Arabidopsis thaliana: one gene and its partners. The protein of the gene in region 3 interacts with the protein of the main gene of each other region in a pairwise test. Each region holds a gene or a part of one and is shown on either strand. Other genes may lie near its edges.

The links. Proteins that work in one complex are often made in the same cells at the same time.
Region 1: the proteins of AT2G17972 (region 3) and ALF5 interact in a protein complementation assay, tested with the Arabidopsis thaliana proteins (one large-scale study listed by BioGRID).
Region 2: the proteins of AT2G17972 (region 3) and AT3G19100 interact in a protein complementation assay, tested with the Arabidopsis thaliana proteins (one large-scale study listed by BioGRID).

Annotation. Positions count from the first base shown.
Region 1 is NC_003074.8:8,451,681-8,459,390, reverse strand, and holds ALF5 (MATE efflux family protein), read left to right. Parts: upstream 1-2,682; 5' UTR 2,683-2,802; coding exon 2,803-3,084; intron 3,085-3,368; coding exon 3,369-3,913; intron 3,914-4,072; coding exon 4,073-4,159; intron 4,160-4,259; coding exon 4,260-4,316; intron 4,317-4,414; coding exon 4,415-4,653; coding exon of another isoform or gene 4,654-4,694; exon of another isoform or gene 4,695-4,727; coding exon 4,728-4,846; intron 4,847-4,925; coding exon 4,926-5,030; 3' UTR 5,031-5,488; downstream 5,489-7,710. Other genes in the region: AT3G23570 (alpha/beta-Hydrolases superfamily protein), read left to right, coding at 24-45, 221-347, 571-661, 784-873, 962-1,062, 1,199-1,339.
Region 2 is NC_003074.8:6,602,542-6,611,517, reverse strand, and holds AT3G19100 (Protein kinase superfamily protein), read right to left. Parts: upstream 6,223-8,976; 5' UTR 5,838-6,222; coding exon 5,292-5,837; intron 4,616-5,291; coding exon 4,485-4,615; intron 4,348-4,484; coding exon 4,306-4,347; intron 4,200-4,305; coding exon 4,091-4,199; intron 3,989-4,090; coding exon 3,613-3,988; intron 3,506-3,612; coding exon 3,393-3,505; intron 3,286-3,392; coding exon 3,178-3,285; intron 3,099-3,177; coding exon 3,036-3,098; intron 2,942-3,035; coding exon 2,774-2,941; intron 2,682-2,773; coding exon 2,538-2,681; 3' UTR 2,223-2,537; downstream 1-2,222. Other genes in the region: RBP47B (RNA-binding protein 47B), read left to right, coding at 4-120; AT3G19120 (PIF / Ping-Pong family of plant transposase), read left to right, coding at 500-1,840; LARP6c (RNA-binding protein), read right to left, coding at 7,809-8,072, 8,152-8,277, 8,365-8,433, 8,521-8,568, 8,645-8,723, 8,802-8,976.
Region 3 is NC_003071.7:7,818,038-7,823,555, forward strand, and holds AT2G17972 (uncharacterized protein), read left to right. Parts: upstream 1-3,547; 5' UTR 3,548-3,586; coding exon 3,587-4,063; 3' UTR 4,064-4,200; coding exon of another isoform or gene 4,201-4,258; 3' UTR 4,259-4,293; downstream 4,294-5,518. Other genes in the region: AT2G17970 (2-oxoglutarate (2OG) and Fe(II)-dependent oxygenase superfamily protein), read right to left, coding at 1,079-1,388, 1,475-1,546, 1,652-1,962, 2,055-2,140, 2,228-2,821, 3,089-3,239; AT2G17975 (zinc finger (Ran-binding) family protein), read right to left, coding at 4,201-4,258, 4,361-4,441, 4,550-4,677, 4,772-4,845, 4,953-4,983, 5,069-5,337.

The DNA of each region.
Region 1 (7,710 bases), on a different chromosome or scaffold from region 3:
ATCTAAAACGTTTTCTTCTGCAGGATATGAAACTCCAAACCTGAGGTGCTGTAACAGAGAATCCCTACTGAATCAGCTTGTCTTTTGTTGATTGTTAGACAGTCTTTTACTTCAGATTCTTTGTTATAATGAGTTATAGTTTATATCACCTTTTATAGTCACTCGAAAGATGTTTCATTCTTGCTGTAACTTGTCATGGATATTGTTCTTCCCTTGATAGGAAACTTGCTGACAAGGTTGCAGAAGCTGGATTCTACGCGGTGGTTCCTGATTTCTTCCATGGAGATCCTTATAATCCCGAGAACCAGGATCGTCCGTTTCCTATTTGGATGAAAGATCATGAACTAGTTAGTTTCTTTTCCTTATTAAATGTTCAATCCTCAATTTTTCTCAAAAACATAAATGAGTCTTTGTTTCCCAGCATGAAATAGTCCAAGTATCCCAATAATCCCTTATTATTAGTGCCAAAATGCTATCACTACTTATTGTTGATTGCAAAGCTAAGATTAAGTCAGTGTTTTTGTACTGTTCTGTGTCAATGTATCTGAAACCAGACTATGGATTTTGTAGGAGAAAGGGTTTGAGGAGTCAAAGCCAATAGTGGAGGCCTTGAAGAACAAAGGCATAACTAGTATAGGAGCAGCAGGGTTCTGTTGGGGTGGTGAGTTCGGTTTTCTTGTTCCCATCATCACCACAGTTTTATGAAAATGTTTTCCATGATCTGTATAATAAGTCAACCATGTATATTAGTTAACACAAGACTTTTTGTTTCTTATTCTTTAGCAAAAGTTGCGGTGGAACTAGCTAAGGAAAAGCTTGTTGACGCTACTGTTTTGTTACATCCTGCTCGCGTTACGGTGGATGATATCAAGGGTATTTAGATCTTTGATATGGCCACTCCTTACTTGATAGTTCTCTCTCATTTGTTGTGATTATGACTCTCACTATATGATTGAAGCAGAGGTCAACCTTCCAATTGCTGTATTAGGAGCTGAAATCGATCAAGTGTCTCCTCCAGAACTTGTGAGGCAGTTCGAAGATATTTTAGCTTCTAAACCTCAGGTACTTTGCTTAGCTCTATGTCTTTATGCAAGGTAATATTTTCATTACTTACAAAAACACAACTAGTAGTTGATGTGTTTTTGGAAGTAGATATCTTCTTCAAGTAGATAATTGTGAGCAAAGTGATATGTTTCAGGTGAAGAGTTTTGTGAAGATATTCCCAAGATGCAAACACGGTTGGACTGTTAGATACAATGAAAATGATCCATCAGAAGTTGAAGCTGCAATGGAAGCTCACAAGGACATGCTCGCTTGGCTCATCGACTATCTCAAGTGAGAACTTGAAACGGTCTAAGCTTTGGTTTGCACATAACCAGCGGAGACCCAAAATCATGTCTAGTACTCTTTAAATAATAAATGTAACTAGTAGTATCTTCTTTAATTTATGTTGCTTTGTCATGTTTGTGGCTAGTGTTCTCTGTTTCGTTTCAGTCTGAGAAACATCAGTTTGAGTTAAACTTAAGACGTTCTAGAAATATCTTAATGTTCCTTTGGACCTTAAGCCTATTTATGTTGTTGATATTGAAATAAAGACATCCCCAAATTCAGCTATATAAATCTTTCTAAATTGATTTTTCTCTATGACTAATGAATTAGCTCTACTTTAAAATTCATCTGCATTACGATTTTTTTTGTTTTTTGAAAAATCGACCTCTTAGTAAATCATAAAACCTTGACAAAATTAGCAATTCTCAACTAATGTTTAACAGATAGTTGTTAGTTTCACCAGCTTCTGTTTAATTATTAATTTGATGATTAAAAATAATTTTTTTTTCTAAATATGGATTCTTGTATTGATATTTCAGATAATTATCTGTCTTTGTTGGTTCTAGTTGATAAGTAACCATGGTTCAGAAAAAAACAAGAAGATGAGTAACCATGAATCTGACTAGAATTGGATCCTAGTACTGGAGATGAGCTGTAGAATCAGATAAAAATTGTAAACAAACTCTCTTCCAAAAAAACAGAATCAGATCAATGAAATAAACGAGGCATGTTTGTGAGATGGAAACTTCTTCAATCTTATGGCATCAGAGTCCTCGATTTCACGAATCAGATACAAACATAAATATTTGCTCAGAGGGTACCATATCTGAACTCTGAGTTTGAGTATGGAAAACGTTCTTAAATCTAAAAGTTCTCCTATAGATTTGGTAACTAGGTGACGACGTCTTTACGATACTCTCTCTAAATGTGACTATACAACTAATGAAAACTTGTAAAAAAAAAAAAAAACTCAAATACAAATTTTCATTAGTTTTACTTTTGTATTTTAATACCAATCCTATGCATGTCTTGAAACAGGTGAATTGTTGTAATATAGAAATATTTCTTAATTGATGAAGTTTTGTTATTCACAATTTTAACGATAAGTTAAGTCCAATGTTCAAAGTTTCCTGAGGTGGTAATCGGGTGGTCATGACTCATGAGCTGCCTGATTATAGTACATTGCAAATTTAATTGGTTGACTTTTTAAGTCATCATTTTGTTTTAAGATTATTGATTCTGATCCAAAAATAATTAGTCTGAGGATGTAATAAATTGAATCTTTTTTGGCATAATTAAAAAATGTATTTATATTGCATTATAATGTGGCAGTAAATGGCAGAGAGGCCTCTTGTGTTGGTATTTAATATCCTGTTTCTGCGTACATCTCTTATTTAATTCCTCACCTTGCCAAATCACAATTCTCCTCTTCAAGTCTTAACCAAACCCAAAGTCCTTCAACAAGAAAATCCAATGGCTGATCCGGCAACGAGTTCTCCGTTGTTGGATGACCATGTAGGTGGAGAAGATGAAAGAGGAAGGAGATCAAGATCATCAACTTTGGTTCAAAAAGTGATCGACGTGGAAGAAGCAAAAGCTCAAATGATTTACTCTTTGCCAATGATACTCACCAATGTTTTCTACTACTGTATTCCTATAACTTCTGTGATGTTTGCTTCTCACCTCGGTCAACTCGAGCTCGCCGGTGCCACCCTTGCCAATTCTTGGGCCACCGTCTCCGGTTTTGCCTTCATGGTACCATTATTTCCTTATTTCTTTAGCTTTTGTAATTTAAAATCTTGTTTTGATGTCTACTTGCAAAAGTTACTAAAACCCACTTATTTCCATCTCAATAATAGACTCGAACTCGAATTCAAGAATCAAGATTGTTTAAAATGATTTATTCGACATAAATGACTAGTAGATGATTTTAGGAGTTGTCTAAATTTTTATTAACGACATCTTCAAGAACATTTGGCCAACGGTATATATGTATAAGTGCTTGTTTATGACATACATTAATGTCTCTTTGTTTTCAGGTAGGGTTAAGTGGATCACTTGAGACATTATGTGGACAAGGCTTTGGTGCAAAAAGATACAGGATGTTGGGAGTTCATCTACAATCATCTTGCATCGTTTCATTAGTTTTCAGCATCCTCATCACCATCTTCTGGTTCTTCACAGAATCGATTTTTGGACTTCTCAGACAAGATCCTAGCATTTCAAAACAAGCTGCACTCTATATGAAGTACCAAGCTCCCGGTTTACTAGCTTACGGGTTTTTACAAAATATTTTGAGATTTTGCCAAACACAATCGATCATTGCTCCACTAGTCATCTTCTCGTTTGTTCCCTTGGTGATAAACATTGCTACCGCATATGTTCTTGTTTATGTAGCTGGGCTTGGATTCATTGGTGCTCCAATAGCTACATCTATTTCATTGTGGATAGCTTTCCTTTCGCTTGGAACTTATGTGATGTGTTCAGAAAAGTTTAAGGAAACATGGACTGGATTTTCGTTGGAATCATTCCGTTATATCGTAATAAACTTGACATTAAGCCTCCCTTCTGCTGCTATGGTATGGTAAGTATATATGTTTCTTGACCGTTATATCTAGCCTAGTGGTTTATATTAGTCAATGTAATCATACCCGGGGTCAAAACCAAATAGTACATGTTGACAAAAAGAAAAAAAAATATCATTAGGCTTGTTGAAGCTTAAGAGACTATATTGTTGCAACAGTTTGGAATATTGGGCATTCGAGATTCTTGTGTTCTTGGCAGGAGTGATGCCAAACCCGGAAATCAATACTTCTTTGGTCGCTATATGGTAAAAAATATATATTTTTAATATCACTTTTTTGGTAGTTAATGTTTTTTTTATCTATTATATCAAATTTCTCAATGTGTGTTATGTTAAATAAATTCAGCGTCAACACGGAGGCGATTAGCTACATGTTAACATACGGACTTAGTGCAGCTGCAAGGTTTGCTCATTTTACTAGATAGTTTCAAAATACTTTGTATTCCATCTTGCTGAAAAATATTGTTTCGGAAATGTAAAAATCGAAAATAAATATTGCAGTACGCGTGTGTCCAATGAACTTGGAGCAGGAAATGTAAAAGGCGCAAAGAAGGCGACCTCTGTGTCCGTAAAGTTGTCTTTAGTTCTTGCTCTCGGCGTTGTAATTGTTTTACTCGTAGGTCATGATGGTTGGGTTGGGTTATTTAGCGATAGCTATGTGATTAAAGAGGAGTTTGCATCATTGAGGTTTTTTCTTGCTGCCTCTATAACTCTTGATTCAATCCAAGGAGTTTTATCAGGTAAAAGATCCAATATATATTTTTTTTTTTTACTCATCTAGGGTGGTAAAAATCATTGTTAAATTTATTTACAGGAGTTGCAAGAGGATGCGGATGGCAGCGTTTAGTCACGGTTATAAATTTGGCGACATTCTACTTAATTGGAATGCCGATTGCCGCCTTTTGTGGTTTCAAGTTGAAGTTTTATGCCAAGGTATTGCTTGATTCTATAATAAGATTAGTAAATTTTGTTTGATTATGTTATGTTTGATTCATTATTTTGATGGCGACAGGGTTTGTGGATTGGTTTGATATGTGGAATATTTTGCCAATCATCATCTCTTTTGCTTATGACAATATTCCGGAAGTGGACAAAGCTGAATGTTGCTACGGTCTGAAAACTCTAGTTACGTTCCATTTTTCTACGGAGGCACATTTATTTTCTTAAGCAGATATGGAATCAGTTATCAAGATATATATTTGGAACTCATGATCATTTTCCAAACGCTTAGTTAAGATTTATCTTTCTTAGTTTTCTTTTTATTCTTTTGGAGTGTAAGGGAAATAATCTGGTTCACAAAGTTGGTCATGGCTTGAATATTACAGCATCATTCTAAGCTATCTTTGAAACCAACTTCTTCTTAGTTGCGTTCTTCAATTTACTAGACTAGTTTCGTTATCGTCAGCAAGAAACTTTTCTCATTTTCTATTTCTTTAATTCCTCGTCGTTTTACTATTTTTGGCGATTTTTTTGGCATATTGTGCTAAAATCAGAAATTTTGATGCTTTCTATGTAAACTTATTTCTCTTGCTTAGTTACACACGTCTGGTCTGGTGTCTCCATATTATCCTGTTTGCTTTCTGGCAATGAGCTAGCTTAAATATGAGATCTTTGTCCACACGTTTTCTCAAAATAATAGCTTTTCTGGCCATTAATTTTGATAGAATCTATCTCGTCTCTTCGAAATAATGATTTTCTATCTATCTCGATAGGATTGAATCTTCATTTAAACCATCAATTAGTAGAATGCTCAGACAACTTTCTGGCCAGATTAGTCAGACAACGTGTGTTTGGACTCTCCTATCATGTTAAGTTTCATGGGATTCCAACTCAAAACCAATTGGTAATTAATGAATTATCCAATGTCTTTTATATACTACTCAAATCTTCTCTCATCTTTATGATGTGTGATCATTCTCCACAAGATTAAGTTTGATCATACAGTTCATTTAGGCTTTTCCATGTCCTAAAGGAGGTTATGGCCGTTATGAATTTACTTAACACAAATCTAATAAGTTTTCCATTATTTAGCCATGAGGCGATGCTAGGATGATTAGTAAGCCTATTACATAATCTTATTTTCAGATAGAGTTTAACATAATTAGGTGATTGACTTGAATAGAATCTACGAATGCCATCAATTGATTTACTTGACACTGTTTCCATAGAAGTTTAACATAAAACAGTGTCATGAAACTTAAGTAGTTGTTATTTGGTGGGCTAAGGAATAGAATCTAGGATTGTGCTTAATTAAACCTCGTTATGTCACATGGTTCGATCTCATCTATTGTTTTGCTATGTTGAACTTTCGTGATACAAATCTTTCTAATTTTGAACTGAACTTCAATTCCTAATTAAACTCGTTTTTTTGTGTTTCATTTATTCGTTAATGTTAGTCGTCTTTTGTGTTTCATTTATTCGGTCATGTTAGTCTTTCCCTAATATAGTGTAAATTCCTAGTTTAACAATAGTTTCACTATAGCACAATGGTTAAATTCATCTTGATTGATAACTTTCCTAAATTTGAAATCCACAAACCAAATTCATTGCCTATCAAAAGAATTCGTCTCTCATATTCGATCTGTGGCATAAGAAAACTTTTTTAAAAAGAAATATGTAATTATTTGTGTAAAAATATATACAGTGTAAATTCATTGCTTATCAAAAACATCCGTTGTAGTACAAGGGTTTAATTCATCTTGATTGCTGTTTCTCTAGTTTAATCGATTGATCGCTTTCTAGGTTTGAATCCTGGCAGCGGAAACTTTTTTAATTTATCTGTTGTTATTTGTGTAAATATATATACAGTGTAAATTCATTGCTTATCAAAAGATCCGCTGTAACACAAGGATTTAATTTATCTCGATTGTTGTTTCTCCGGTTTAATTGATTGATGGCTTTCCGGATTTGAAAAGTTTCCGGGATCGAATTTCGGCACTAGAAAACTTTTTTTAGTTTTTTTTTGTAATTATGGGTTTCAATAGATAGATATACAATATATAGTTTAAATTCATAATTTATAATTCTCCCCTTACAAAAGATTAAAATTTGGATTACATTTGAGAATAAAGGGGAGAAGCAACATAGCATGTAGCGGAATGGATCAAGCTAAAAGACGTTTAAGGGAGAACACAAGTTTATGAGACTCCTAGATCTCACATCGTTCACCCTGACCCACATCGACCTTGTGATGGTCCCATGCAAGAAAATGGCAAATCACACGTCGATTCTTACATCGGGCAGAGGTAGATCAAAGCGGGAAAGTTGAAGAATCATGCAAGTATCAGATTGGCCTCCACATCGACATAGGCAATGTCATCCCACAAATTTTGAAGTGCCAGCATGGTTTAAACTTGTTTTTGAGGATTTTTAATATAAGTTTGAGTTTTCTCTAATTTGTATAGAGACTCAAGAGCCTTGTTCTACATTTCGTTAATGAAGATGTCATATTTTCATCAAACTAGTGAAGATTTTCTCATCTTGATACATCTCTTCTCTTAAATTATGTTTATGCCTCCATTTACCTTTGCTTTTTTGCTTCTTTAGTTCAGTCTTGTTATCAAAGTTTTGAAGATTAAACTAGCTAGGATTAATAATGAATACATCAATGATGTTGATTATGGGAGAATCTTGCTAGATTCTTTAGTCAAAAGAATTGGAGTTCTTAGACTCTCATAGGAAGGGAAGATCTTCCCCACCATTCCTTACACGCAACGTGAGTTATCTAGAATTTAGCTTCTACCTGCTCTTGAGTCTTAGCAAGTCAAAGATTAGTAGCAGCAGTGCAGCACACTATT
Region 2 (8,976 bases), on a different chromosome or scaffold from region 3:
CAGTGGAGAGGAGACTCAGGGCAGCAGTGGAATGGAGGATACTCACGAGGACATGGTTACAACAATGGAGGAGGATATGCTAACCACCACGACTCCAACAACTATCATGGGGAGAATTGAAGAGACTCATCAAGTGATCATCTTCATCATGGTTTCACATATCAAAGCTAAAACCTGTAGTCGAAAGAAGAATTTTGTTAGATGGATTTGATTTTGATAGACTTGTTGTTTGGAGGAGATTCAAAAATTTTGGTTACTGGTTTGTCTCAGACTAATATAAATGGTTGCAACTTGTTGGATCAAAATTCCGCTTACCTTCTACGAATTGCTTATAAGCCCAAAACTTTCTGAAATTAAACAAACAACCCCAAAACTTTAAAATTATATTTATTAACTCACATTAATTTTAAATTTTTAGCTATTAGCCCTTTCTCTCTCACTTCTTCAGTTTTTCTTCTACTCTCAACCTCTCCGGAGAGAAAAAAATCGGAGAGTGAAGATGGAAGAAGCTTTCATGGCGATGCTCTCACATCTTCTCCATCTCCAAAACTCATTAGATCCTACAAGCACTCTCTTCTCTTCCGCATCCACATCTTCACAGTCTTCAACCACACCTTCCTCCCTCCTCTCCACTTCCTCCGCCGCGCCTTTACTCTTCTTCACTCTCGCATCTCTCCTCTCCTTCCTCGCCGTCAACAGATCTTCAACCGAATCCTCATCTTCCTCAGAATCACCTTCCCCTTCCCCTCCTCCGCCTCTTGCCGACGGCGATTACTCCGTCGCTGCCTTCCGTGCCCTAACCACAGACCACATCTGGTCACTCGATGCGCCTCTCCGCGACGCTCGTTGGCGCTCATTGTACGGTCTTTCCTACCCAGTCTTCATCACCGTCGTCGACAAGCTCAAACCATTCATCACCGCTTCAAATCTCTCTCTCCCCGCCGATTACGCCGTCGCTATGGTCCTCTCTCGTCTCGCTCATGGCTGCTCAGCTAAAACCCTAGCTTCTCGCTACTCACTAGATCCATACCTCATCTCCAAGATCACAAACATGGTCACACGTCTCTTAGCCACCAAGCTATATCCAGAATTCATCAAAATCCCCGTCGGAAAACGGAGATTGATCGAAACGACTCAGGGATTCGAAGAACTCACCTCTCTCCCCAACATTTGCGGCGCCATTGATAGTACTCCGGTGAAGCTCAGACGCCGCACGAAACTAAACCCTAGAAACATTTACGGTTGCAAGTACGGATACGACGCCGTTTTGCTTCAGGTTGTTGCTGATCACAAGAAGATCTTTTGGGACGTTTGTGTGAAAGCTCCAGGTGGAGAAGACGACTCTTCTCATTTCAGAGATAGTCTTCTATATAAGAGGCTTACTTCAGGAGACATTGTTTGGGAGAAAGTTATCAATATTAGAGGTCACCATGTGAGACCATACATTGTTGGAGATTGGTGTTATCCTCTTCTCTCATTCCTGATGACTCCATTTTCACCAAATGGCTCTGGTACGCCACCGGAGAATCTATTCGATGGAATGTTGATGAAAGGAAGGTCAGTGGTGGTGGAAGCTATTGGATTGCTCAAGGCTAGATGGAAGATTCTTCAGAGTTTGAATGTTGGTGTGAACCATGCTCCTCAGACTATTGTGGCTTGTTGTGTGTTGCATAATCTTTGTCAGATTGCTAGAGAACCTGAACCGGAGATTTGGAAGGATCCAGATGAAGCTGGAACGCCTGCAAGAGTTTTGGAGAGTGAGAGGCAGTTTTACTATTACGGGGAGAGTTTGAGGCAAGCATTGGCAGAAGATTTACACCAGAGACTCTCCTCGAGGTAAAAGACATGAACAGATCTTGGTCAAAAAATGGAGCTTTCTATCTTTGTTATCATGTAAGAAGCAGATGCTTTCAAGTGTTTAGAACTTTAGATAGCATTGTAGATTCAATCCTCTTGAGAAGAAAGTTTGAGGATTCAGAAATGTTAAAAAGCTGACTTTGTTGCCTAGCCATCCCAACTGTCAGTTTTGTAACTTAGGAATGGGTTTATGGTTTGTTCTGTAACACCTTTTGAGAATGAAATGTATGACTTCTATTGATATGGATTATGGAATCTTGAGAAGCAAGTTTTTCCGAATTTGAAATATTAATAGCTCTCTGTTACTGTAAGTTTTGTGACTTAGGAATGGGTTTTTATGATTTGCTTTGTGGCACATTGTGAATGGAATCTGAATCTTTTTCCTGGAAAAAATGGAGACAGCCAAATGAAAAGAGAAAGGGATGTTCTTAATATCTGTCTTCCATGATTTGGAAGAACACGACTGTGGATTATCATCTTATTATACAACTCTCCAGGCCTGTCGGATTTTTCTGGATACTCTCTTTCTTTGTCGGAACTTAGCATTCTTTTTCTAACACTATAAACATAGGAATGGGTCCTGAAAAAAATTCCAATTCCCAACCCCAATCCACCCATTTGCTTCTTGCAGTTGTATGTTCTTCCTCTTTCGAATCCGTTATAACACCGAGTCACTTTCCTCATCGCGTTTTCGCTAAAGATTGTCGAGTCGAGACACCGTGCAGCAGTTTGACAAAACCCAAGAAACTCAGCTTCCCGTCAGTATGTCTTATCCAGTCATTTAGAATGGTATGAACCGGGATGGATGATCCAACACCAAGTTCCTACAAAACATTTATGTTCCCTTCGTTTAGGAATTAGCTGAATAAATTGTTAAGCATGACAGAAGCAAGTGTCGAATTTCTTATAAACTTACAGAAGCGAGTTCTTCGATGACGATAACTCGGTTTCCATTCATTTCAAATAGCTCATAAGCATGACGAATGCTCTGCTCCCAACAATCAAGAGACTCATGCTGATGAACGCTAATGGAAGCTGCACAAAACTCTTCAAAATCCATCCCTTTGTATTGAAGTCCATTTAACTGTCATTTCCCAACACCAAACTTTCGTTAACCAACCTTGGATTGTATCTTAAACAGATTAAGCAAAAGGACAAGAACAGAAAGGAGACAATACCAATGCAAGAAAGTCCGGGATCCGTGATTCCTTCATTGCTTCTGTTGCATTTGTCGCAAGTGCCTGTCCAACAGAAATAAATCTAGCTTTGAGCTGTTTGCTTTCTACCAGAGAGAGACAGAGAGGAAGAGAAGGCACATACCAGTCTGATGCTATCTAAAGTGATGAGGCCATTTTTGTTGGGTGCTAAGTGTGCAAACTGCGCTTTCAGATAAAGAAGTTCATCGGTAGTTAATGTCTTGGACAGAGCCTGGAGAGAATAAAAGAGTTAGCAAACTAGATACAAAGGTAATAAATATCAAACACATCCTTAAATGTTGTTTGGAAACAGTAAAAAAGGTTAGAAGCAAAATGTACCATCAAAGCAGCTTTGCGCAAAGACGAAGATCTCAAGTATGCTTTGATCTGCTTGAAGATCAGAATATCAAATGGGATATCTATTTTCTTATAACCCGCGATCCAAGGATGCACTGTAAAAACCGGAAAAAAACGTGGAGTAACTTCAACTGGTGATTCATGAAAAGCTAGAAACAGAAGATAAATATAGAAAGATGTGGATATTTTAGAGATTACTGACTCAAAGCTTGAGATGCAGTCATTCTTTTCCGAGGGTCCTTGTACAATAATCTCTTAACAAAATCTTTTGCCTCAAAGGATAACGAAGGCCAAGGAGGTTCATCAAAACTGGGATCAGCTTTTAGAACTGCTCTGAAAATTCCTGATTCAGTTCTTGCCCAAAAAGGACGGCTTCCACATAGGAGAATGTATGCTATGACTCCTATGCTCCATACATCCGCTTCTGTGGTATAAGATCTGTGTAGAACTTCAGGGGCTACGTAATATGCACTTCCCACTATATCATTTAGTCTTTCGTCTGGTCTGACAAAGTCCGATAAGCCAAAATCTATGACTTTCAACATAGAATTCTCCTCCTTGGAAGTGTACAAGAAGTTCTGAAACATGAAAGTGTTTCAAATGTGAGATTGGTATTCAACTAAGACAATATTTCTTTTGGGTTTTGAAAGGAAAAAGCAAAGACAAAAAGTGCGGTTCACCTCTGGTTTTAGATCTCGATGAACAACTCCTTGGAGATGACAGAAAGCTACGACGTTAAGGATCTGTATAAGCACTGCTTTTGCATCATCTTCAGAGTATTTTCCTCCCCTGTAAGAGAAGTAAATTTGAAATAGTTAGACAGCCAATAGAACATCTCTAAGAAGGATCTCTGACCATAAGTTAACAAATGTCATAACAATCTTTAAAAGCAGACCTTGCTAGTATCCTGTCAAGAAGTTCACCACCTCCACATAACCTGAAAGTTGAAAGAAAGTAAATGTTTATTCACAGCTAAACATTTTGAAGTAAGCCAAGTCGGGAAAATAAGAATCTGATAGCTCTCCTAGTAGATTCAACATGACACAGGAATATATAAGCACATGATTGTCTTACTCCATAACGATGTAAACGTTGGCATTGTCCTCGAACGCATCATAGAATTGTACCAAATTTTGATGTCCAGATAACGCCCGCAGTATTTTCACTTCTCTTCTCACATCCTCTATAGATATTGCAGATGTCATCTGCCAAACCAAAGCTGATGAGAAACAGTCTATTGTGGATTAAGCTAACACTAAACCTATCTGTATATTACACCAACTAACTCGATTACATGATTAACTTTCTTAGTCATCAAATAAGGACCATCAAAATTTCAATTGCTTAATGACAATTGACAAAAGCACAAATGTCCATGTTCCAATTTATTGACCAATTTAAAACGTTTAGAAATGTTCACAGAAAAGTCAGCAATGCTAATCTACAACCATTGAAAACTTGGCTATTGAAAAACATGGATGAAACATAAGTGTCATTGACAAACTTCAACCTCATCTGTGTTCGCTATTACTTGTTTTTGTATTAATTTCTATGCGTGAAAGTCTACATACGCTATCAATTTTTTCAAAAAGATGGCTCAAACAAGAGGACAGTAAGCTCGTAGAGAAGAACAGAAACATCTCAAGAGACCGTAATGATCAAATTACAGGTTCATCATGAAGCAAAAGGAGACTATGATGGTTTGTTCTTCTACCTTGAAACAGTTTAACATCTACTAAACAAATCAGACAAGACACACAAAGAATCTTCAATTTGTCAGATATAGCTATCACTACAATGATGAAGCACTTGAGCCAATTGAAGCAGAAAACTTAAGATGGAAACTTGAGAATTTGGAAAAAGTAAAGCTGTAAAAATGACCTTAGATTTTGGGATGACTTTAACAGCAACCTCCTGATCTTTGAGCTCTCCTTTCTTGAACTTAGCAGAGCAAGTATACCCAAAATGCCCTCTCCCAATCTCTTCCCCTAGCTCAATCCTACTCTGTAACTCCTTGGAAAACCCAAATCTTTTATCCAGCCCTACCTCTTCCCTCTCCTCCTCCTCCTTCTGCTGCCTCGCCGCCGGCAGAGCAGCCTCCTTCTTCTCCTTCCTCCGCCGCAGAACATCCCGTATATGTCTCGCCGGTGACGGAGGGTGGAAAGCACGCGCGAGCTGACGGAGAGGAGTGCTGGTAACGCTCTTACTCTCTCCTCCTCCGCCGTCGCGGCTCTTGTTACGGCGGTGCCGGGCGGGACTAGGCGTGTAAAAAGGGAAAAAAGGAGAGGCCTTTACGGCGGGAGATGAACGAACCGGTGATTTCCCGGGATGAGCAGGGGTAGAATCGTCATTTTGGAGAACCGCGTCTTTGGGTGCGTAAGGATTAGGTTTGACGGAGGAGGAAGGTTTGGAAGTACAGCCTCCCATATATCCTTCTCCTTCTTCTTCTTCTTCTCCGGTTCAAAGAAATAAAAAAAGACAGAAGAAGAAGATATGGGAGTTATGTCTGGACTTAAAGAGAATCACAGCAATGACATTGAAGCACTCTGGTTTGGTTTCAATGTAGTTAGAGAGAGACAGAGAGAGAAGAAGTGAGCTGTAGAAGAGAGAGAAGCCACATGGCAGAATCTGCGGGTGGTGAAGTAGCTTCCTTCCATCTGATGAAGAAGGTTAGATTTTAGATGTGGATTGGTCGAAATTTAGTTTGCTTTTTGCCACGTCTTTCTACTTTTGTCCCTCTTTTTTTTTCTTTTTAATTCACAATATGTTTGTTCTTTCTCTAAGCAATACTATACGTTTTCTTTTGCTTTTGTATTTTATCTATCATTATTTTTTGTCTTTTTTTCTTGTCTTTTTTGTTGTTGATATTGTCTTTTTGATATCTTATTGGGAGAATAAAAACGTTTTGAAATGTATTTATGGACGTTATCATTTTCAAAAGTGGGAATTAAAGATAACTTTTAAAGCTCCATCTTGTGATACTACTAAATTAAATATTTTATTACTAATTAACTAGGGAGGTTATAAAAGATACAAATAATATTGCTCTGAAAATCAGGATTTACGTTATATAAATTGATTGGATGTACCTGCTTGACCCTTTTTGAAACATGCTGATGTTGTAACCTAACAACTTCATTGTATCTGGACAGGTCGTATATCAATTTCAATTTTTAATAAGATTTCATCATTTTCAAAATATTTGATCCACATCTCTAAGTTCTTTTTTTCTTTTTCTTACTAACTCTTGATTTGAAAATCTCTCTCCAATACCAATCGTTAAGATCAGTTTAGTTATCATTATTTCTATCTACCAATCGGTACGTAATTTAGTATAGACTATGAAGTTGGTTTACTGATATTGCATGTTTGGTTTCATGTAAATACATGTCCAACAATTTCCATCCTTTGAAGGTTTTCTATTAATTTGGGAGTAAAATTAGGTTTTGTTTCAATTAAAGATTATACATTTATTATAATTAATATGATACTATAAATTAGTTTGTTTGACAACTACCATAGGTTATGAAATTACTAGACAACCTTGGCAAGAACTTTTGTTATCTCAATACTCATTTGTCTTTTCACTTATTTTTAGAAAAAAATTGTACATTGAATCCATTTTTTTTTTTTTTTCACAACATTGAATCCAATCTAAGGTCATTGAAAAATGTCTTTTCAAGTATTGGGTTTTGTAAACAAAATCCAATCGAAAAATGGCAATTATTGTAAACAAAACCCACTTCCTTATATTGATTGAGATGAATAATGGATTCAATAAGTGACTCCGCCTTCTTCAAGGTTGTTAAAGAATTGTCGAATATGTCTTAAAAATTAATATATATCAAACCGGTTAAAAAACCATTTGGGAATGTCAATAGATACAAGTTACTGGAATTAGTTAGGATGCAAGAAGATAGTAACATTTTACCTGATTATTTCCTTTCTTGTGCTTGTGCTTTTTATAAACTATTCATCATGTTTTTTTAGTTTTTCTTTAGAAAGAAAATTGATTAGTTTTCAAGTTTCACCCAATCTTTCAGTCACTTATTCAAATCCATTACTCATCTAAATCAAAACAAAGAGTTGAGAGGGTTGCAATTCTTGTGCTATATAAATTACCCCTTTATTATTCAAATAATAATCTCACAAAAATAAAACATATTAAACATACAGAAAAGAAATTGCCTCAAAAAATGAAAAAAGTTATATAAAACGAACCCTCAAAAAACGTCACCGTGCCTTCACTATCTTCTCCCAAGTCATGTGCCTTGCTTCTTTTGAATGCATCTTAGGAAAACCAATCCATATGTATTATTTGGTTAATTAACTCTAAAATCTTTTACCTCTATTATAATAAATCAATTATAAATAGCAGTCCTTGTGGTGGGTAACTATTTAGAGATTGTTAGGTGAGAGTGAGATGGAAGGTTTGCCACGTCCCATGGTGAAGCCTCTGGTTCCATCAGGCATTCTTGGTCCCTTTGTTGCTGTTTTAGGAGACGAAGATTCGTGTGACCCCAGGCTGGGTATCCCGAGGCTGACTCCGAGCCCAATCCCGAAGCTACGTCCTCCTCCTCCTACTGCGTAGCTTCTTGGGGATCGTCCTCGTCCTTTTCCTCTCCCTTTACCCCACAGTCCACCAACATTGTTGTCATCACCCTAACGTGCACAGCAAGAAAATTTAGTTTCTATATATATATGGAAAAACATTTCGTGGGACTTAAGCAACAGTACTAACATCGTTATCAAGCTGTGATTCGGTTAAATGGAGACGCGGAGAGTCTTCTCCTGATTCATAAGAAGGGAGTTCATCATCGATGAGGATTCCATCGAAGTTTCTTCGGTTCTTGAGCACCGATTTTGGCTGTAGCACACAAAGTATATCAACGAAATTAATCTCAGAACGTCTAGAGAGAAATGTGTGACTTAAGAAGAGAATATAGAAATCAACCGAGCATCTAAGAAGCAGCCTCACACGAAGCCCTTTCCTCCAGTTTCTTTCATCGTTTAGCTTCTCTACCTGGTAAGATCGCATTTGCTATATATCTCAGAAACTAATAGACAGAGCCTTGGATCAAAAGATAGTTGAAAGTAGAGATTTACTCACTGCTTTGTCCGCGATAACAGTGTTGTCATACTCGATAAGGGCGTGAATCTTTAGAGTAAAACAAGATGGATATGTTAAGCTCTTTAAGTTGACGTGATAAGTAGAAACAGGACTTGGTACTTACTTTGTTGCTCATCAAGAAATCGCCTTTTGGACGAGACGAGTTGGATTCTGGAGGATGACATATACGAATCGCTTTGACGCTGAGACAAATTGCATCCAGAGTTGTTGTTTATTGATGTAGAGAAAATGTTTAAAATGAAAGTAAAAAGCCTTCTTACTTTCCAACAACTCCAAAGATCTTCTCAAGGTTCTGGTAAGAATGATCATCTGGCAAATTCTCTGCAACGACAGTCCGGCCCTGCAGAACAGTAAAGAGTAACAAGAACTCATATATAGTTGATAATAAATACAATGAAGCTTTAGTGATATTCAAATTTACCTGCAATTCCTCTC
Region 3 (5,518 bases):
TGATTTGACAATTCTAATTTTTAGATAATGTTTTTAACAAAATGATTGATCACTAAACCTTGCATAAAATGATTAATCATCTATATTGTATACCAAAGTTAGAAAAATATAATAGTGGCGGTAATGTAATTTCGGAAACTTAACTCAACCGATAACATTGTTTAGAAGATGCATGGTTTTTGAAATACAAAAAAAAAGAAAGTAAAAGTAATAGAGTATGTACCAAGAAGAAGAAAAAAGGTAGGATACATTGTTAGAAAGTAGAAAGAATGGTGGAAAAGAGAATGATGATGTTAAAAAACGAATAGGGATTTGAGATGAGAAGATCATTCCATATCTCATATACAACACATCGTCGCTTTTCATTGATATAAAAGTGTCATACTCAATAGAGCCCAAACCCTTTTTCTTCTCTCTTTCTATTGATTTTAAGAAAGAGATTCTTATTAGATCCCTAAACCCACGTGTTCTTTCATTATTTCGTTTTCTTTGGTTCTTATTTTTTTCCCTTAATTTGTCTTACATCCGGTAAAATTGTAAATTATTTAAATAAGAATTCTTGAGCTGTTTTTATAAGTTACACCTTCAAAATCAGATTAGCAAAGGCCTCATTCATATAAGTCACTCATGTTCGAAAGGTTTGATTATACGATAAGTTGTGATCAGTCAAAAAAATTGAAAAAGATAATTGTACACTTACACTATAGTCACAAAAACATATAAATGAAGAATTGGTTACTTGGTCAAATCAATTATCGATTACTATATATATATGCTCTCGTAGATCGAAATTCTTTAGTCACATCAGTTGGAAAATTTGACAAAAAAGTAAAGCGAAACAAACCACAGAACAATTCACACTAAACACACAAATGACAAATCGAACTGTGTAAGATATACATAATTACAAATACGGTCAAAAATTCAAAAACGGATATAAAAATACCCCGGACATAAATAATTGTTTGAAAAAAAATTCAAGACTTATGTATATATGTTGCACAAATTAATTATTTATATGGAAAATTGGTTAATTAAATAAAGAACTTATAAATTTCAGTTTCAGAAGTTGAAGAATTTAACCGTAGTTTCTTCTACTAGGACGTGGCATTCCTCTTCTCTGGCTTGATGGCCAGTCTCCAGAGTCATTGTGTTCACTGCTTCTCTCAGGATTATAGTAACCTCTTGAGTCATAACCATTGCCTCCTCCTCTACGTCCATGTCCTCTTTGGTTAGTACCGTTATGGTTGTTTAATCTTGAGAACCTTGAAGTAGAACCAGACCGGTTCAGGTCCAATGGCAATGGCTCAATCCCTTGCAAATCAGGCTCTGGGGTGAACCAAACCGGGCGTTTCGACTCATCCATTTTCCTAAATGTAATTGATATCCTGTTGAATAGAACCGGGAAGAAACATACTCATAAGAGAAAAAATGTTTGTTTATAGAAGAAAATTGATGCAACAATATTTATAACCTTTTTGTAGGAACTGCAGGTACACAGTGCTTAGCTACATCAGCTCCATTTCCATTTAACACCAGAACTGATCTGATAAATATGAAAATATCCAAAAAAAACAGTCTTTGATTTCATACTATTCGACAAGGAATGGCCGAAAGTTTTGAAACTGGGAATTCTTACGAACTTGCTTACCCCACAGGAAGCGGTATTGAGTATGAACCCGAGAAGTCACCAGGACCCTCAACTTTCAGGTTTGAGCCAAAGAGGATATCGCATTCACTGAGGAAAGAGATGGTACAGAAGGGACGGAGAAAGTCGTGGTTGTCGATGTGAGGAGGTATGCAGTCACCTTCATCATAGATGTTCACAATGCAGCTATCGGGCACACAAGTTGGAGGCAGTACATGCCATTTAATCAACTTTCTAATGATTACTTTGAAAAGATGAGGTAGTGGATCCACTTCTTCACGTTGAAGGATACCCGGTGGGTTTCCAGCTCTGTCCTATCAACCCAAAATACAAGAAGGCAAAACTCTTAACTCCTTTTTTAAGAATGAAACAGATTAATGAAAGTATGACAGAGAACGTTACTTACTGGAGCGTAGTTGTAGCAACAGCCAAATTGTATAGTCTCACGTCCTTTTCCTCTCATCCACTTATGTGGAGCAGTAAATGTACGCTCTACAGAGAGAGAACAAGACAAGATTCAGATTAAAAATAGGTCACAAGTTAAGATAAGAGCATTTTCAGATCAAAACAAGAAGTTACTTTTAAGTTCTCCTCTTCGTCCCTTCTCTTGAAGTTGATACACTTGATCAACAATCCGTTTCTGCTCCACTGCGCTAAAAACACCAGTGTGCAACTCAAGTCCATCAAGCACGTTAACAATCTTTCCCTTAACTCTCTCCAAGCAAATAAAGTCTTTCTTTCTCTTCACATTAATCAGCCTGAGATTCTCTCTCTGATCTCTAGACAACTTAGGCTTCTCTGGAGTCTTCATCGAACTCGCATCAAAACCTTTCCTACTCGAATCCCTCTCCTCTTCCTCCTCCTCCTCCTCCTCATCGAACTCATCCTCTTGTGCCATATCAGCCCAACGCATACGAGGGCTTGCTGTTTCAACAACAGCTGGTCTAGATTGCAATACACTACTAAAATCTTCAGGAAAGGAACCAAATACAATTTCACTTCCCTTCCAACTACCTAACGAATGATTATCACAGTCTTCGCCATTTTCCGACTTCTCATCATAATTATCATCCACATTGTTACTAGCTCTTTCTGATCCCATATTTTCCACCACTGAACAAGAACCAGTTTTACACTCTCCATCAACTTTGTCAGTGTTGTTACTACAATGTGCTACACATATGGAAACATGATTTCTCATAAGCAACTCCACATCATAACTTAATTCACAAATTTAGAAACGTACTTGCTACTCTCTCGCCTCCTATTTGTTCCAATTACCAAACCCTAATTTTGTAACCTTATCATTTAGCAGAACATCAATCAAAAAAGCAGAATCAAGTACAATAATGAAGAAAATCTCCGCTTTCTATACAGAATTTCAATATCCATAGAAACCAGAAAGTCTCTCGCCTCTAAGAAAAAGTTGAGAATCGTTACCTGGGTCAAGAGAACGGATTCGATTGGAGAGAAGGTGATTACAATCCTTGCATAGATCTTTAGATAAAAAAGGAAGCCAATTCGTCAGAAACTCCGAAGCGATCTTAAGCTCCGACGGCTGGTACTGCCGGAGAAATGGATCGTTTTCCATGAGATACGCTCGATACAATCCAAATCTAGTACTCTTGTTACAGAAAATTCAAATTTCCTAGTCCACGATTTGAAATCTAGTACTCTTTTGTCAGTGTGGATTCTGTGACGGTACACTTGTAAATTCTAGTATTAACCAAACAAGGGTAATATCGGTATTTAAGCAGCCAATTAAAGCTCTTGGGCCGTTTAAAATTCTTAAAAGCCCATTAATTTCGAAACGCCACCTGTCGAGACATAATTGGGTCAGAGGATTTTAACGGTGGAAGATGAAGAAGCTTATCTTTTTGCAAAATCGTTTCTTCCTTCATTCATCATAGCTTCAAAATCTTAAAAACAACAACAAAAATGAAAAGTCTCCACTTTTTAGCTCCCAATTCAACGATTATCAATCTGAAGCAACAATCTTATACAAAAACCAAGTTCCAGTTGCATCGTAGCAACAGAAGAACTCTATCGATAAACTGCGTAAACAGTGGCGGTGATGAAGAGAAGATTACTCAGCCGTTGGATGGAGTGGAGATAAGATTCAAAAGAGGATCCAGAAGGAAAATGAGGGAAGAGGGTTCAGGAGAAGGAGGAGGACAAAGCGGGAAGAAAAAAGAGACTGTTCAAAAGCCATGGGAAGAGATGACATTGAATGAGAAGGCATTGGAGCTTTATGTTGGAGAGAAAGGTTTGTTGTTTTGGCTAAACAAATTGGCTTACGCGTCGATATACATTGTCATTGGAGGTTGGATTTTTTTCCGGTTTGTTGGACCGGCGTTTAATCTTTATCAACTCGATACACCGCCTCTTGATCCTAAGAACATCTTAAAGGGTTAAGAAATGCTTTGTAGCTGTGTCTGCATTCTCTGTTCCAAAACATTTTGAGGCTTATATATTCAAGTTAGTTTCGAGTAATGTGTAGCCATGTCTCACTAGATTAAGATACACAAGAGAACAACACTCTTCATGAATTTTCAAGATTGTTCTGTTGGAGTTATGTCCTGATCAAGGATATCTCGTGTAGTCTTGCACCTGACATGGAAAAGAAAATATTTTTTTCTTCGGCTTTTTGTTTACCTTAACTCAATGCAAAGAATCAGAATTATTAACTGAAAAAACTAGATTAAAACTCACCTATTGCACTCTGCTCGTGATGCATAATTGTGATTCTTGCAATTTGTACACATCCAGTCGCCATCACGCCATTGTTTCACTCTAAGAAATCAGACAACACAAAGAATTGGGAAGGTTGCAAAAGATCACGCCATTGTTCTAGCGTTTAGAAAACAAGAAAACAATGGAGACCAGAGATCAATACAGTACCCCATTCCAAGTAAAGCAGGTGTTGAGTGTTGTTGTAGAAACGGGAGAGGAAGTTGCCAATTTGAGACCCTTCCTAGGCTCATACCAGGAAAAGATGCATATATCGCTGACTGTGTTTGCATGCTTGTCTGCACAACGAGCCAGAAGAAACAGAGGTTGGTTAAGCAGCAAGTAAAATTGATGAATGTACTAATCAATTTATGCGCTCTAACTAATCCTTACATATCCTTGATTCAGTCTTTTGCTATCCCATTCATGAGCCAAAGCTTCTGATGCTAATCTCTTTGTACCAAGGGCTGCAACCCAAAATAAACTTTCCCATATTAAAACTCGTGAAAGGATTATCAGACACCTTCGGGTTATATAAGATTGCACGCGCATCGGTCTTAGACAAAAACCTTACCTAGTGGAGCTATTTCATTGCACTTTTTGCACTGCAGAGACATACAAAACAGAAATGAGTAAAACAACAAGCCGGAATCTGCAAGTCGGTTTTGCATTGTGAACCCATTTCCTCACCTGTATACGAGAGGAATAATTGTGAAAACCACATCTGCAAATCCAGTCACCACTCCTCCATTCTTTATGAACCGAAGCTTGATTTGTAGCGTTAGAGAATGCGAGTAAAGAACCAGGTTGATCATGTGACTCAGGTCCACGGGTGAAGTAATGGAGATGAGTTTGAAGAGAAGCTCCAGGGATAGCAAGTGCTGACAATGCTGCTACTTCCTTAGATTGCCCACATTTCTTGCACTTTTCTCGTGATGCATAATTGTTGTTAGTACAACCTATTGCCACACCACACCACACCACACACCCAAACGCAAAACGTAGAACGAAGAAGATACACACGCACGCACACCACAACACACCCACCAGCAAATTCCATATACCACATAACACAGAATACACAAAACAGCTCAACCTAGTTATAAGTAAATCCCCTAATTCACAATTCCAATCTAATGA